3 linked regions of the Callithrix jacchus genome follow. The protein of the gene in region 3 purifies or fractionates together with the protein of the main gene of each other region. This does not show direct contact. Links are inferred from orthologs where the notes say so. Each region holds a gene or a part of one and is shown on either strand. Other genes may lie near its edges.

Evidence for each region. Proteins that work in one complex are often made in the same cells at the same time.
Region 1: the proteins of USP10 (region 3) and YAP1 purify together in Homo sapiens (affinity purification with western blotting; 4 studies listed by BioGRID). This does not show direct contact. The link is inferred for Callithrix jacchus from reciprocal best matches to the Homo sapiens genes USP10 and YAP1.
Region 2: the proteins of USP10 (region 3) and SIRT6 purify together in Homo sapiens (affinity purification with western blotting; 4 studies listed by BioGRID, with this or other methods). This does not show direct contact. The link is inferred for Callithrix jacchus from reciprocal best matches to the Homo sapiens genes USP10 and SIRT6.

The regions. Positions count from the first base shown.
Region 1 is NC_133511.1:37,447,775-37,452,972, reverse strand, and holds part of YAP1 (transcriptional coactivator YAP1), read left to right. Parts: intron 1-3,342; coding exon 3,343-3,536; intron 3,537-5,198. UniProt on the Homo sapiens protein: Transcriptional regulator with dual roles as a coactivator and corepressor. Critical downstream regulatory target in the Hippo signaling pathway, crucial for organ size control and tumor suppression by restricting proliferation and promoting apoptosis.
Region 2 is NC_133523.1:3,917,180-3,921,995, reverse strand, and holds the end of SIRT6 (NAD-dependent protein deacylase sirtuin-6), read left to right. Parts: intron 1-1,408; coding exon 1,409-1,504; intron 1,505-1,584; coding exon 1,585-1,665; intron 1,666-2,200; coding exon 2,201-2,324; intron 2,325-2,405; coding exon 2,406-2,735; 3' UTR 2,736-3,228; downstream 3,229-4,816. UniProt on the Homo sapiens protein: NAD-dependent protein deacetylase, deacylase and mono-ADP-ribosyltransferase that plays an essential role in DNA damage repair, telomere maintenance, metabolic homeostasis, inflammation, tumorigenesis and aging.
Region 3 is NC_133521.1:42,366,468-42,372,225, forward strand, and holds the start of USP10 (ubiquitin carboxyl-terminal hydrolase 10), read left to right. Parts: upstream 1-1,896; 5' UTR 1,897-1,987; coding exon 1,988-2,008; intron 2,009-5,758. UniProt on the Homo sapiens protein: Hydrolase that can remove conjugated ubiquitin from target proteins such as p53/TP53, RPS2/us5, RPS3/us3, RPS10/eS10, BECN1, SNX3 and CFTR.

The sequences.
Region 1 (5,198 bases), on a different chromosome or scaffold from region 3:
AATGCCAAAGAAAAAACAAAGGAGGAACCTATGTATTAAAACAGTGGTCCTCAGAGCGCTGGCATGAATCAAAAAGTCACTGGGAGGGCTTGTCAAAACACAAGATTACTGGCTTTATCCTGTAGTTTCTCATTCCTTTGCCCTGGGTTAGGGCCCATGAATTTACATTTCTAAGAAGTTGCTAGGTACTCCTGATGATCCAGAAACCACAGAACCATGTTATTAAAGAAGTCTTGGATTATGAATGAAATATAATGTATGGACCTTGTTTGGATTCTGTTTTGAACAAGCCAATTGTAAAAATAATAATTCTCTTGATAGGAAAATATAGACATGCGATGGACTTTTGATAATATTAAGGAATTGGTAAATTTTGATAGTGTAATCATGGTATTGTAATTATATTTTTCTTTTTTTAAAGGAGGCCCCACCTTTTTAGAAATACATACTGAAATTATGGGTAAATGCTATATTGTTTGCTTGAAAATAATTGGAGCTGAAAAGTAGTTGAGGATAGAGGTAAAGAATGATTGGCCATGTATTGATGATGGGGAAGAAAGTGATGAGTACACAAGGATTCATTATATGTATTAATTTTTCTGCTTTTCTGTGTTTACAGAAATTATCTTTAAAATTTAAAATACATATTTGGAAACATAAAAATATATTCCTAAATAGCACATGAGTTTAAGTCATCATAGAAATTATACATTTTTGGAATAAAAGAGTCATGAACTATACTATTTCAAAACGTGTGGCATGCAGGTGAAGCAGGACTTAAAGGTAAATTTATTGACTTAAGTCTTCCAAGAAATATTTAAATGAAGTAAGTTCAACTCAAAAGTTAGAGGATGAAATACAGAAAAGCTGGAGGGAAAAAGTAAGAGCAGAAAAAATAGAAATAAGTTAATGCAGTCATCTTATATTCACAGGTAGCTGAGAAGATTGGATTGAACTAAGGCATTGTTAGAGAGATTGGTGTATAATTTTCCTCTCTCTAATATCCTTGGTTCTGTTTCAGTGCTGTGCTAGCCTGATAGAAGAATTGGGCAGTCTTGAGCCAGGTGTGGTGCTTGCCTGCAGTTTCAGCTACTTGAGAGACTGAGACAGTAGGATCATGTGAAGCTTGGAGTTTGAGACCAGTCTGGGCAACATAGTAAGACAGGGATTTAAAAAAAAAAAAAAAAAGAAGTAATCTAAAGGGAAATTAATAGTAGGACTTCTCTATTGTCTTTTATCTTAAATAGTTAATTTTCTGCCTCAGTGAGGAACTACTCAACGTATGTAGAAATGGTTTGTTATTTTTTCAGCATACACTTAGTGCCAGATGCTGTGTTAGGCATTGAGAACATGTAGATGACTAGGATACATCCCCTACTCCTGTGGCAGTCAGTCTGAGGGAGCATATACTTTTGTAAACAAAAAATTAGAGCTGTCTCTGTTGCCATGACCCGCAATAACCAGCGTGAGCTCGCCCACCAGAAGAATAGGAAAAAGCAGAGCAACTAGGTTAAGGGACGGCACCGAGATGACGGGCTTTTTGTTGCCACCGGCAAGCAGAGTGCCCCATCATCTCTACCGCCAGGGTCGGAGATCGTGCAGCAGAAGCGAAGAAGGCAAACAAGAAGGAGAAACCCAACTAGCTTTGTGGCTGCATGTGCAGCCCTCTTGCACTTCGCCTGTGTGCCTAGAACCAGTCCCACCACGCTCGCGTTTACTACTGTAGTGCTCACAGGTCCTAGCGCCGATGGCATTCCCTTTGCCCTGAGTCTGCAGCGGGTCTCTTTTGTGCCTCCTTCCCCTCAGGTAGCCTCTCTTCCCCTGGGCCGCTCCTGGGGGTGAGGGGGTTACCCCTTCCCAGTGTTTTTTTATTTCTGTGGGGCTCACCCCAGAGTATTTAAAGTAGTTTTGTTAAAAAAAAAAAAAAAAGTTAGAATCAGGCAAGAAATGTTAGTAGACAATATGGAAGAGTTCCTAGGCAATTCCTTGAGAGAAGAAAACGTTTAATGTATAGGATGGACTCGGCCTCGTGATGTTTTTGCTCAAGTGGTCTCCAAGAAGAAATGGTATTTACCAAGCAGCCAGTCTGTTGTAACGGGACACATTAAAAGTCAAGAGGAGTTTGCTGTGTGACTGGGAGACCATTAAGTTATAAGAGCTGTCAGTGTATGTTATTTAGGATTTTTGTAGCAAGGTTTATTTGAGAGATTGGCCTGTAATTTTCCTTTCTTTTAATATCCTTGTATGGTATCAAGGTTATGCTGGCCTTATAAGTGTTGGAAAATATTCCTTCCTTGTTATGCTCTGGAAGAGGTTGTGTAAGATTGGTATTCTTTCTTCCTTGAATGACTGCAAAGCCATTGGGATGTGGGGTTTTCTTTAGTCAGTGTGTACTAAACATTTAGTAGAAACAGTGACCCAAAATTTCAACTTAAGTTGAATATGTGTCTGAAAAGTTTTATTCTTCTTACTAACATTTTCACATAAAACTTCACTCTGCTCACTGAGGTTGATCCACAGTTTGATCAATGTTTTATCAGTGACAGAAATACAGTAGTATAAAAACTTGAGTCCATTTCTAACCACTAAATCATATATTACAGCTTCAAAAAACAATTTTTTTTCTTTTGAGTACCTAGGCTGTATGCTGGGGGTACTGTGGTGTCAAATGAGACAAATCTGTGTCATCCAAATACTTGTGGACTCAATTTGATACAAACAAGCATCAGATCATTTTAATCTACTGGGTTTATTGGGATGTGTGTGTGAATATATTATTAAGGCCTGATTATTTTGATGGGCTTTCCTGTTCAGAATGCTTTGTCTTAGTTGCTTTTGTGAATGAATTTTTAATTAAATTTATATATTTCATAAGAAGTAATATATTTGCATCATTCACACTTCAGAAGTTATAAATAAGGATCTCCAACTTTGTCCTTTAGTCACCTAGTTTCCCATCTGTGGAGCTAAAATATGTTAGTTGCTTCTTAGCTATTCATTAGTTTTTATATCCTCTGAATATGCAATATATATTCATCACCTTTGTCCCCCCCCTTTTTTTTAACCTTTGTCTTCTGCACTTTGCTTTTAATTTAATAAGTCCTTAGAAACCGTTCTTTATCCTTGCATGTTAAAACTATCTTGTTTTCTCTTATGACTTCCTTGTATCTTGTGAGAACAGTAATTTTAAGTTAATTGTGGTATTGATGGATTTTTAGGTTATTTCCAGTCTTCCTGCCCAAAACAGCTACATTGAATATCCCAAATTGCTTTTGAATAATTAAATCATCATTTTGTCTTCCTTTGCTAGCTTTTTGGGACAGATTTTTTTTTTCTTTTCAGCCATGAACCAGAGAATCAGTCAGAGTGCTCCAGTGAAACAGCCACCACCTCTGGCTCCCCAGAGCCCACAGGGAGGTGTCATGGGTGGCAGCAGCTCCAACCAACAGCAACAGATGCGACTGCAGCAACTGCAGATGGAGAAGGAGAGGCTGCGGCTGAAACAGCAAGAACTGCTTCGGCAGGTGAGGCCACAGGTTAGAAACCAGCCTTCCACTTTTTGGGGTTTGTTTTCTTACTTAAAGTTTTGCAGATTTCATTTTAACATTTATTACAGAGGAATACTGTCTTCATAAAAATGAGCGACATAGAAGCATACTATCCAGCTCTGTCCTTGTCTTAGTTTCCTGACTGTGATTGGCCTTGATCAAATTACAAGGGATGTAACTTGGAAACGTGTATCGTGAAGCTGTTTTGGCTATGGTCATTGCAATTGAGCAGAAATTGAAGGAAGCAACAATGCTCTCTTTAATGTACATGGAATTGTGGATTTATGTTTTTCTGAGGATTTTAGAAAGGGGGAAATTCTACAACATCACTTGGGAGAAAATATCTTTTGTTATTATTTATGTGGTGGGATACACCAGTATGACATTTCTTGAATGACAAGTATACTTCAGTATTACCGAATCTAAGAATTTTCATTTAAAACATAATGAGAGTTACCTTTGTCCAGGTGCGATGGCTTATGACTGTAATCTGAGCACTTTGAGAGTCCAGAGTGGGCAGATCACTTGAGGCCAGAGTTCCAAGACCAGCCTGGCCAACATAGCAAAACCCCGTCTCTACTAAAAATATAAAAATTAGCTGAGCATGGTGGTGCACACCTGTAATCCCAGCTATTCGGGAGGCTGAAGCACAAGAATTGCTGGAGCCTCAGAGGCAGAGGTTCATTGAGCCAAGATTGTGCCACTGCACTTGAGCCTGGGTGACAGAGTGAGACTCTTTCTCCAAAAAAAAAAGTTATCTTCAAGTTTAGTAGATGCCACTGTGCTTTAAAATTACCTGCCTATGGATTTTTTTTATATTGGGAAAAGTAGGATATAACAGCAGAGAGCTTGAAGCCCCTTTAATCACCATTTCCGTCAGCTTTCTTCCACAAGGTACTGTTGGTCTTTATGTTCCATAATACATAATTCATCTCAGCATTAATTTTTACTTTATCTTATTTCAGAGTGGTTAAATCTAAGTTCAGATATTCAGGATATGATCGTTTGTTAAGTAGTGTAGTTATTTTTAAATTTCTATATAAAAAATTTTTGAATAGATACCAGAAACATGGTATAATAGTGATAAAGTGTATAAAAGGTAAAGGTACACTCAAAATCTTTTTTCTGTTACCCTGGTTCTTTCCTCTGGGGCCTAAATAACTATGAGTTTTTTAGGTTTTTTGTTTTTTGTTCATTTTTCCAGAGATACTCTGTTTAGCTATGTAAAATATATGTATCTATGCTATGTTTTCCCCACCTAAATCACAGCATGCTAAGTGTAGACATTTAAAAATCATCATACTCGGCCAGGCATGGTGGCCCATGCCTGTAAACCCCAACACTTAGGGAGGCCGAGGCAGGAGGTTTGCTTGAACCCAGGAGTTGAAACCAGCCTGGGCAACATGGCAAGACCCTGTCTCTTAAAAAAATATATATATATGTGCGTTCTATATTTCTGTTATCAGAAAGTGGGCATTTAAAGGTCTGTTTTTTTAAAGGGCTATGTTTTAAAGGTATCTCTTGAATGTCAGTGAAAATATATGAACTCAGTAACACCTGAACTCTGATTTGGGGTTTGAGGAGCTGGTACTTCAGGAGTTAAATTAAGCCATGGCATCTGAGACAGGCTCACCTTTAAACTGTGCTCTG
Region 2 (4,816 bases), on a different chromosome or scaffold from region 3:
GTCTGAGGGTCACCCCGTCCTCCTGGGGGTCTGAGGGTCACCCCGTCCTCCTGGGGGTCTGAGGATCACCCCGTCCTCCTGGGGGTCTGAGGGTCACCCCGTCCTCCTGGGGGGTCTGAGGGTCACCCCGTCCTCCTGGGGGGTCTGAGGGTCACCCCGTCCTCCTGGGGGGTCTGAGGGTCACCCCGTCCTCCTGGGGGGTCTGAGGGTCACCCCGTCCTCCTGGGGGGTCTGAGGGTCACCCCGTCCTCCTGGGGGGTCTGAGGGTCACCCCGTCCTCCTGGGGGGTCTGAGGGTCACCCCGTCCTCCTGGGGGGTCTGAGGGTCACCCCATCCTCCTGGAGGGTCTGAGGGTCACCCCGTCCTCCTGGAGGGTCTGAGGGTCACCCCGTCCTCCTGGGGGGTCTGAGGGTCACCCCGTCCTCCTGGGGGGTCTGAGGGTCACCCCGTCCTCCTGGGGGGTCTGAGGGTCACCCCGTCCTCCTGGAGGGTCTGAGGGTCACCCCGTCCTCCTGGAGGGTCTGAGGGTCACCCCGTCCTCCTGGAGGGTCTGAGGGTCACCCCGTCCTCCTGGGGGGTCTGAGGGTCACCCCGTCCTCCTGGGGGGTCTGAGGGTCATGCCTTCCTCCTGGAGGGACTAGAGGGACATGCCTCCCTCCCAGGGAGTTACTTCCGTGTTCTGGCACTGCCATAGCAACCAGTAGATGAGCAGCTTAGAACAATAGAAATTTGTGATCTCACAGTTCTGGGGGCCAGAAGTCCAAAATCCAAGTGTCTGCAGGGCCGTGCCCCTCTGCAACCTGCCGGGAGGATTTTTCCTGCCTCTTCCTCGCTGCTGGCAGCAGCCAGACCCCCTTGGTGGTCCTGGGCTTACAGCTACAGGGGCCTTCTTATCTCCGAGTTTCTCCTCTTTTTTTATTTTTATACACATAGGGTCTCACTGTGTTGCCCAGGCTGGTCTCAAACTCCTGGCCTCAAATGATTCTCCCGCCTCGTCCTCCCAAAGTGCTGGGATTACAGGCGTGAGCCCCCGAGGCTGGTCCAGTATAACGGTTAAAGTCAGGAAAAGTAAAGGGGACATGGCCTTCTCCAATCCCTGGTTTGATTCCAGACCCAGCCGGTTGCCCCCAAGCTCTAGCTGTTCTGTTCCTCCTGGTCCGGGATGCCATGCGGGGTCCCGTCCCCAGCCCCAGGACCTTCTCCTACCTTTGTTTTCTGTGCCCTGGGAACTGAGCAGCGTCCCGGCCTGATGCTCATGGGAGGCTCCTCCTTCTGCATCACTCGGTGCTGAGTTCTGGCCACCTGTCCACCCCCGCGCCTCCCTGGGAGAATGTCCCCCTAGAAGCAGCTTGAGAGACACCCCCGGGGGCTGACTCGGCCCCGGCCTTCCCCTTCCTCCCTGACACAGGCAGTACGTCCGGGACACGGTTGTGGGCAGCATGGGCCTGAAGGCCACAGGTCGGCTCTGCACCGTGGCTAAGGCGAGGGGGCTGCGGGCCTGCAGGTGAGCGACCCTGCCCGTGCCCTGGGCTACAGGGGAGGCTACGAGGCCCCTTTGGACTCTTCCCGGCTTCCTCATTGCAGGGGGGAGCTGAGGGACACCATCCTAGACTGGGAGGACTCCCTACCGGACCGGGACCTGGCGCTTGCCGATGAGGCCAGCAGGTCTGACCGCCCCCAGGGAGCCCACAGGGGAGCGGGCTGGGGAGATGGCAGAAACACAGCCAGCTCCAGTAACGGGGGCAGGAGCTCCAGCTCAGAGGCAGTCAGGGGGTGCTTCCTGGAGGAGGTGGGCCACACCAGGGACTGCACACACACACACACACACACACACACACATACACACTCTCTCCTCACTATGGTTCTGGGTGGATGCTGCACAAAGAAACGGAGGCTTCAGCCACACGACTCCTCTAGCCAGTGCTGCCCAGCCAGGAGGAGACTGAGCCAGGGACCCACCCTAGGGTTCCAAGCTGTCGCCACACTGCCATTCTCCCCAGAAGGATCAATGACCCTGCTGGCAGGCAGCAGAGGAGAGGGGGTGGGATCCTGAAGGCTGGCTCTGCAGTGGGGCCAGCCTTGACTGCCCGGGTGAGCACAGAGGGCCTAGGTGTGAGCTGGACCCCATGGCCAGCTCGGGATGTTGGCCAGAGCGGGGCTGGAGAGGGGATCAGACTCAGCCCACGCTCCCCGGCCCCAGGAACGCCGACCTGTCCATCACCCTGGGTACGTCGCTGCAGATCCGACCCAGTGGGAATCTGCCGCTGGCCACCAAGCGCCGGGGAGGCCGCCTGGTCATCGTCAACCTGCAGCCCACCAAGCACGTAGGTGTCTGAGCCCACCCCTGCCCAGGGCCCCCATGTGCCCTCTGCCCCCGACGCCTGACCCATCCCAACTCCCGGCAGGACCGTCATGCCGACCTCCGCATCCATGGCTACGTCGACGAAGTCATGACCCGGCTCATGAAGCACCTCGGGTTGGAGATCCCCGCCTGGGACGGCCCCCGTGTGCTGGAGAGGGCGCTGCCGCCCCTGCCCCGCCCACCTGCCCCCAAGCTGGAGTCCAAGGAGGAATCCCCCACCCGGATCAACGGCTCTGTCCCCGCCAGCCCCAAGCAGGAGCCCTGTGCCCAGCACAACGGCTCAGAGCCCGACAGCCCCAAACGGGAGCGGCCCGCCAGCCCTGCACCCCACAGACCCCCAAAAAGAGTGAAGGCTGAGGCGGTCCCCAGCTGACCAGGGTGCTCGGGGAGGGCGGGGCTTTTTGTAGAAACCGTGGATTCTTTTTCTCTCGTGGTCTCACTTTGTTACTTGTTTCTTTCCCCGGGAACCTCAGGGCTCTGAGAGCTGCGCTCCAGGGGTCACACCTGCCCTCCAAGGTCTCTCCCTGGGCTCCAGGAAGAAACCACACCCCGGGGCTGACAGCTAAGCCCCTGCTATACCCCAGCCTCTGACTCAGGGTGTTGTTGGGAGGTGTGGCTGGGCCCTCCCTGGTCTCCAGTCTAAACAGGACTGACCTCCCTCTGCCCCCAGGGCTTCCCCTCTGGGCCCCCCACACCCCACCCACCTCTCCTCCACCGGCCTTGCAGGAGGGGAGACCCACTTCAAAGTGGGGGACACACCAGAGGCTGGCATTGCCTTTGGAGCTGGAGGGAGGGAGACGTTGGTCCACCAGGCTTCTGGAAAAGTCTTCAATGCAATAAAAACTGAACTTCCTTCTTGCATCTCAGAATCGTTCTTTTTTTTGAGTTGGAGCCTTGCTCTGTCACCAAGGTTGGAATGCAGTGGTGTGATCTCAGCTCACTGCAGCCTTCACCTCCTGGGATTCTCCTGCCTCAGCCTCCTGAGTAGCTGGGTTTATAGGTGCTCGCCATCACACCCAGCTAGTTGTTTGCATTTTTGTAGAGACAGGGTCTCACTATGTGGCCCAGGCTGGTCTTGAACTCCTGGGCTCAAGCAGTCAGGCCACCTTGGCCTCCCAAAGTGTTGGACTTACGGGCGTGAGCCACTGCATCCAGTAAGTGTTTAAATTCCAAATTTGTGGCAGGTCCTTGCCCTCCCGGGTCAGGAGTTCGTGGTTCCCTCCTCCCTGGACCATCTGCCTGTGCTCCGTTGCAATCCCTGCCCCTCAAGCCCAGGGTGGGGAACAAGGGCTTCCCTATCCCCCACCCCCACCTCTGGAGGGATCAGGCCAGCTTTATGATGATGAAGCCCATACAGCAGCTAGCATTTTCTGAGCACCCAGTCTGTAGTTACACACTTACGAGCAAGACTTTTTCTTGTTTCACATTTGCCCCAGGCTGTGAGCCGCCTTCTGTCCTTTGGCGCGCACAACCCACAGTGGGGGCAACGCGGCAGAAGAGCGCAGGCGCAGCCAGGTTCCACCCTCCCCAGCTGTGACCTTGGGGAGTCCCTCCACTTCTGAAGCCTCCGTATCCTGACCCACAAAACGAGCAGGGTGGGCCGCCCAGATCCCCAGGAAGGCAGCTGCCTTCCCCGCAAGCCAGGCGCTCACACCCTGGAAGCACCTCCCGGGCTCCCCGCGCTCGGCCCGCCGCCGCTCTCCAAGGTGCTGAAGCCGCGCCTGGCACCTCTCCCGCCGCTGTTCCCGCGCGGGGATCTGGCGGCGGCGTGGAGCCCACACCTCACTCCCCTATCCCAGGCTGGCCCAACCCCTCATTCTAGGGAGTGGGGGAGCCCCCAGACTCCGCCTCCACCCCAAAACATGGTTCTGTCAAAATACTTTATTTGGGATTGGGCAGTCTTAGAAAAGGGGGGTGATGGTGAGTCGTGGCTGCTCCGAAGACCAGGGCGTACCTGGGGCTCCAGAGCCAGGGTCCCTGCAGTCTCGGCGGCTTCCTCCTCCCAGTGTGCGAGGGAGGCCCGAAGGGGTCCCTGGGCGGGGAGTTGCTGGGCATCTGTCTGTCCATCCGGGTCTGTTTCAGGCTGCGTCTGTCTGTCCACACCCGTTTCAGGCTATCTGTCTGTCTGTCTGTCTGTGCTGGTCTGTTTCAGGCTGTGTCTGTCTGTCCACATCCACTTCAGGCTATCTGTCTGTCTGTCTGTCTGTGCTGGTCTGTTTCAGGCTGTGTCTGTCTGTCCATCCACATCTGTTTCAGGCTGTCGGTCTGTCTGTGCGGGTCTGTTTGAGGATGTATCTGTCTGTGTCTGTCTCAGGCAGTGTCTATCTGTCCGTCTGTCTGTCCGGGTCTTTTTCAGGCTGTGTGTCTACTCATTGCTTCTGCGCCTGGCTCTGTGTGTATTTCCTGGGCCCCATGGCCCTCTCTTTGTCGGTGTCTGAGTTTCAGTTCCTGCGT
Region 3 (5,758 bases):
TGGCTCATGCCTGTAATCCCAGCACTTTGGGAGGCCAAGGTGGTAGATCATGAGGTCAGGAGGTCAGGACCAGCCTGACCAATGTGGTGAAACCCCATCTATGCTAAAAATACAAAAATTAGTCGGGTGTGGTGGCAGGTACCTGTAGTCCCAGCTACTCAGGAGGTTGAAGAGGCATGGGAATTGCTTGAACCCGAAAAGTGGAGGCTGCAGTGAGCCAAGATCATGCCACTGCACTCCAGTCTAGGGGACAGAGTAAAACCCGGTCAAAAATAAAAAAAACTCCATTTCAAAAAAAAAAAAAAAGAAAAAAAAATACCAATAATTCACTAAGATCACTTATATTCAACCCATATTTAAACATCTCTGATTGTCAACAAATAAACAATAAAACCAGTTTAAACGACATATCAGGATCCAAGCAAGATTGACACATTGTATCAGGTTATGTGTTTCTAGCTCTTCTATTTTGGAACGACCCCTCCCTGCAACTTATATTTTTCTTTTTCTTTTTTTTTTTTTTGTGAGACAGAGACTTGCTCTGTTGCCCAGGCTGGAGTGCAGTGGCACAATCTCAGCTCACTGCAACCTCCACCTCCCTGGTTCAAGCGATCCTCCCACCTCAGCCTCCCAAGTAGCTGGGACTATACATGGGTGCGCCACTACAACCCACTAATTTTTGTATTTTTAGTAGAGATGGGGTTTCACCATATTGGCCAGGCCTGGCTGGTTTCTAACTCCTGACCTCAAGTGATCTGCCCGCCTCGGCCTTCCAAAGTGCTGGGATTAAAGATGGGAGCCACTGTGCCCGGCCCACTTACATTTTTCATGGCATCGCATTTATGAAGAGACCAGGCCCCTATTTCATGCAAGGTGGGAATGGATCTTCCTGTTAATCCCCTCAGCTTAGGGTTGGGTCTAGCAAGAGTAGACTCTCTGTAGGTGTTTGTTGAACAAATGAAACCAGTGATAATGGTTATTAACGACAATCACGGTAGCCAATTTTTATTGACTGTTCTCTTGGCCAGTCTGCTCACATTAATCTTGTTTGAACCTCGCAGAAATCTTACTCGTGACAGATTTGTCTTATTCACAGGTGAGGAGACCAAGGCTTAGGAAAGGGAAGATGCCTGTCTGAATCACAGCTCGAAAAGGGGCCAGAACCCAAGGGTGGACCCACCGGCTGGAAAACGCTGCAGTCAGGCAGGGGCCCTTTTTTCTTGAAGAATGAATGAATCAACAAACCCAAGGCTAGTTTGCCTGTGCACACGCACGGACGTGTGCAATACGTAGCACTTGGCAGGCCTCGCGTCAAGCACTTTACCCGTGCTTTTACTCCCTACGTTTTGTTTTCCTGTTTTGCTTTTCTCCCTTAATGCCTAGCAAAAGGCGTGGCCCAGACGCCCGGGTAGGACTTAGGGTGTAAATGAAGAGGGAACAAATGAATGAATGGGCGGCAAAGGGATCTTCATAAACCAGACCCTCCTCCGGGATCTTCTGCGAACACTCCCGAGGCCCCGGCCCAGGGACGCCAAGGGTGACTCGTGGGCCCCGTGCCGACCTCAGGAGGCAGCTCCCGGGCTCCGGGCGCCCAGGTAACCCCCAGCAGGTGTGGGAGCCGGGGCCTGCCAGCGCCTCGGCGTTGCCACCTCCACGTGCCTGCCCTCTCTCCTTCCGGCTCCGCAGCCAGGCCCTGGCGGGCTCCTAGTGTGCAGCTGCGCGGCCGCTTCCGCCCGATGGGCTCGGTGCTCAGAGACCCAGCAGGTCCAAACGCGGCGGGGAAGGTCCGCGGCCCAGCCGGCGCACGCCCACCTGTCGCCCGCGCAGGCGCAGCACCGCGCCGGCCTCCCCGCGCCCCGCGGCGGGCGGCCAGTGCGCAGGCGCGGCGGCCGATGTGAGTGTGTATGTGCGGGCGAGAAGATGGCGGCGGCGGGGGAAGCAGCGTGAGCAGCCGGAGGAGCGCCGAGTCCCATTGAAACGGGCCGCCATGGCCCTCCACAGTCCGCAGGTAGCCGCCGGCCCGCGCCTTCGGCCGGAAGGGGACCCGAGCCCAGGGCGAGCCGACGCCGCGGCGGGCGGGCGGGCTCCCGCACTCTGCCCGGAGCGAGCGTGTGGGAGTGGGGGAGGGCGCCGGGACACGCTGCCCGGGCCTAGGCCGGAGCCACCCGCCGCTTCTGCGCACGCCGCGCCTTCGTCCTCCAGAGTTGCCTGGGCCCCCTAGTCCCGGGGAGGCAGAAGGGCGGGGGCTCCGGGCCCCGCCTGGGGAGGGCGTGGGGGGTGCCGAAGGGGTTAATCTCCCCGGGGCTGGACCGCGGGGCGAGCCCGGGGTGTGGAGTGGGGCCCTCCCCGCCGCGCCGGCCCGGGGAGGCGGCTCGGGGGCTCCGGGAGTCTCCTGGAGCGGCAAGAGCCCCAGGGCAGCTCAGGTTGCTGCCTCTGCCCGGAGCGAGCCTTAAAGATTTCAGGGTGCCCTGTTGCCCCCTTGCTCCAAAAGCCTTCCTTGTGAGCTCGATTGTTGACGCGGGGGTTGCTGATTTTCTGGTTTTTAGATAGAAGTCGCTGAGTGCGGCCTTAGGCTACTGGTGAAAACAAAACTCGAAATAAGTCGCAAGGACTGTACTTGTACTTGCATTTGAGTGACATCCCTTGCACGAATCCATCCCAGCCAGGCTGACACTAACGCACCCTGCCTGAACGGTATCTAAAGCTTAGGGGCCTTTTACAATAATCCTGTAGTGGAAAGAAAGAGCTCTTTTTGGGAGATGTGCGTGGAGAGTTAAGCTCCTCTCCTCTCCCACCCTTTCTCCCCCCTCCGCCATTATAATTATTCTGAGCGAAAATCGGCATGATACAATTTGTCAAGCTTGCTTTAGACTGCCAATTTGTTGACCTCTAGTCCCTATAAATTGTTGCATACTCTCAAACCATCTCAATGTGCATTTATATTAAATATGGGGAAATGAAACAAAGTAGCCACTGGGAAACCTGGTGGCAAGTAAAATTGTAACCCTACATAAGCACCTGGGTCTTGTTGCTCTTTTGCAGATAAAGTCAACCTGACTAGACGTCATTTGAAAAACGATTTTCGTAACTGTTGAAATGAATCCGTGTTGTGGAATCTACAACGCGAAAACTTTTAAAAATTAGGTCTTAATGAGAAGCTTCAATTTTGTTCAATTTGCCCTAGTTCAATTGGCATCGGAGCATCGTCCCGTTAATGCTTTGCTCCCTTGTACATTTACTTTTGTAAGTAGTATGGTTCTTTGCACCAAAAAAGGGATTCGCAGTTGAATAATTTTTACAAATGTATAACTCCAGAGATTTTCTTAAGAGATTTGGTGTATTTAGCTTTGTTTAGATTTATTTAAGAAAAGATCTGACGTTTGATTTTTTTCTCAACTTAAATACTAATTCGCCTACTGTTAAAATTGGTATGAATAAGTATAAAGGTCATTATGAATTAATGTGTAATATTCATTGTGATTTTTGACAAGAAGAAAGCGTCTTTAGGCATAACTCTATTTAATAAGCATCAGTCACAGTTGAAGGCTGATTGAAATGTTAGTGGAGATGGATAATATGTAAATTGTAATTTCGTTGCTTTAATTGTCCCAGTGTTTACGTGTTTTTTTTTTTTTTTTTTAATTATTATTATTATTTGAGATGGAGTCTCCCTCCTTGGCCAGGCCGAAGTGCAGTGGCACAATCTCGGCTCAATGCAGTCTTCATCTCCTGGGCTCAAGCCTTTCATCCTGCCTCAGCCTCCCGAGTCGCTGGGGTTACAGGTGTGCATCACCACAGCCAGCTAATTTTTTAGTAGAGGCGGGGATTCACGGTGTTGGCCAGGATGGTCTGATTTCCTGACCTCGTGAGACACCTCGCCCGCCCTGTATTTATGTTTCATGCGGCAGCATTAGCTATATGCATCTTCAGAGAATTGGAGTAGCAAAAGTTGGCTCAACATAAATGTTAGCAACACTTTGGGTTTATTCTTTTAAAGTGTGATTTAAATGCTTTTAAGTTCTAGCGTGAAGAAAGTAGCAAAGGAGATAGTTTAATTTCTCAAAATTTTCTTTTTCTTTTTTTTGAGATGGAGTTTCGCTCTTGTTGCTCAGGCTGCAGTGCGATGGCGCCATCTCTGCTCACTGCAACCTCCACCTCCCGGGTTCAAATGATTCTCCTGCCTCAGCCTCTCCGGGTACAGGCGCCAGCCACCATGCCCAGCTAATTTTTTTGTATTTTTATTATACTCGGGGTTTCACCATGTTGGCCAGGCTGGTCTGGAACTCTTGGCCTCAGGTGATCCACCACTTCAGCCTCGCAAAGTGCTGGGATTACAGGTGTGAGCCACCGCCAGGTCGATTTCTCATAATTTTCATTTTCAAAGAATAGTAATGGAAACAAATAATGGAATTATGTATGACAGGATTTAGTTACTGGTTCCTGCCTGAATCATTCTGAGCGTTTTCAAAAATTTGTTTTATTTGGTTGCCAACTACCCGAAAAGTCTTGCAGCCTTAATGGCCATTCATGCATTCAGCAAATACTGATTGTTCTCATGTGCTAAGTGCCATGATATGCATATTACACTTGTTTTTGTTGGGAATAACAGCTACAAATTCGAGGTCTTATTTTAAAATTGGTTCGTTAAAGTTAAATTTGTCAGTAAGAATAATGGGACCTGGAAAAAGTTAAAAATGTTTATAGGCCGGCACAGTGGCTCACGCCTGTAATCCCAGCACTTTGGGAGGTGGAGATGCTTGGATTACTTGAGGAGGTCAGGAGTTCAAGACCAGCGTGGCCAACATGGTGAAACCCCGATCTCTACTAAAAATACAAGAATTAGCCAGGCGTGGTGGCACACCTGTAATACCAGCTATTCGGGAAACCGAGTTAGGAGAATCACTTGAACCTGGGAGGTGGGGGTTGCAGTGAGCCGAGATCACACCACTGCACTCCAGCCTGGGTTACAAGAGGGAAACGCCATCTCAAATAAATAAAAATAAGTAAATAAAACAAAAATGTTTCTAGGTTAGTAACCCTATTTCCAGTTATTAGGAAGTGTTGATTGATCCCTTTTGCCTGTATTGAAGTGTAATAGTGAAACATTTGGAAACATTTTGAGGACAATAGCTTTCAACATTTTAGCAAAAACAAGAGAACTTAACAGTTGAAGTGTTAAGTCCAAGTGAATTTCTCTGTCACTGACGGGCCGATGCCGATGAAATGATTTGGGGTAATTTGAAGCTACCACTTTTGCCTTACACCTGAAAAAATGTTTGTGATTATTGATGTCATTTTATAGTGAAATCTCCAGAATAATGCTTCCTACACCCAAGTTGAATATCATGCAGTTGGCTCCTGTCCTTGTCTCTGCATAGACTCAACCCAGTCTTTTTTTTAACCTTGTGATAGCAGGGCCCCCACATTTTACATGATGGAATGCCTTGGATTCCACTTCCGGCACACAGCAGAATGTTGCTGTATTGCTGAATAACTGTTTATAGCTGACAGGTGGATTAGTGTTAATTCTTGAAAGAGATACATTTTTATTAGAGTCCCACATAATGAGCAGCTGAAGTAAATTATTTGAAATTTTGACAGGGTGTTTGGAAATAAGTTTTCCTTTGCACAGTGGCAGCAAGATATTTAAACATGTCCTAAGACTAGATATTCTGGCCAGACGAGGTGGCTCATGCCTGTAATCCCAGCACTTTGGGAGGCCAAGGCAGGTGGATCATGAGGTCAGGAGTTCAAGACC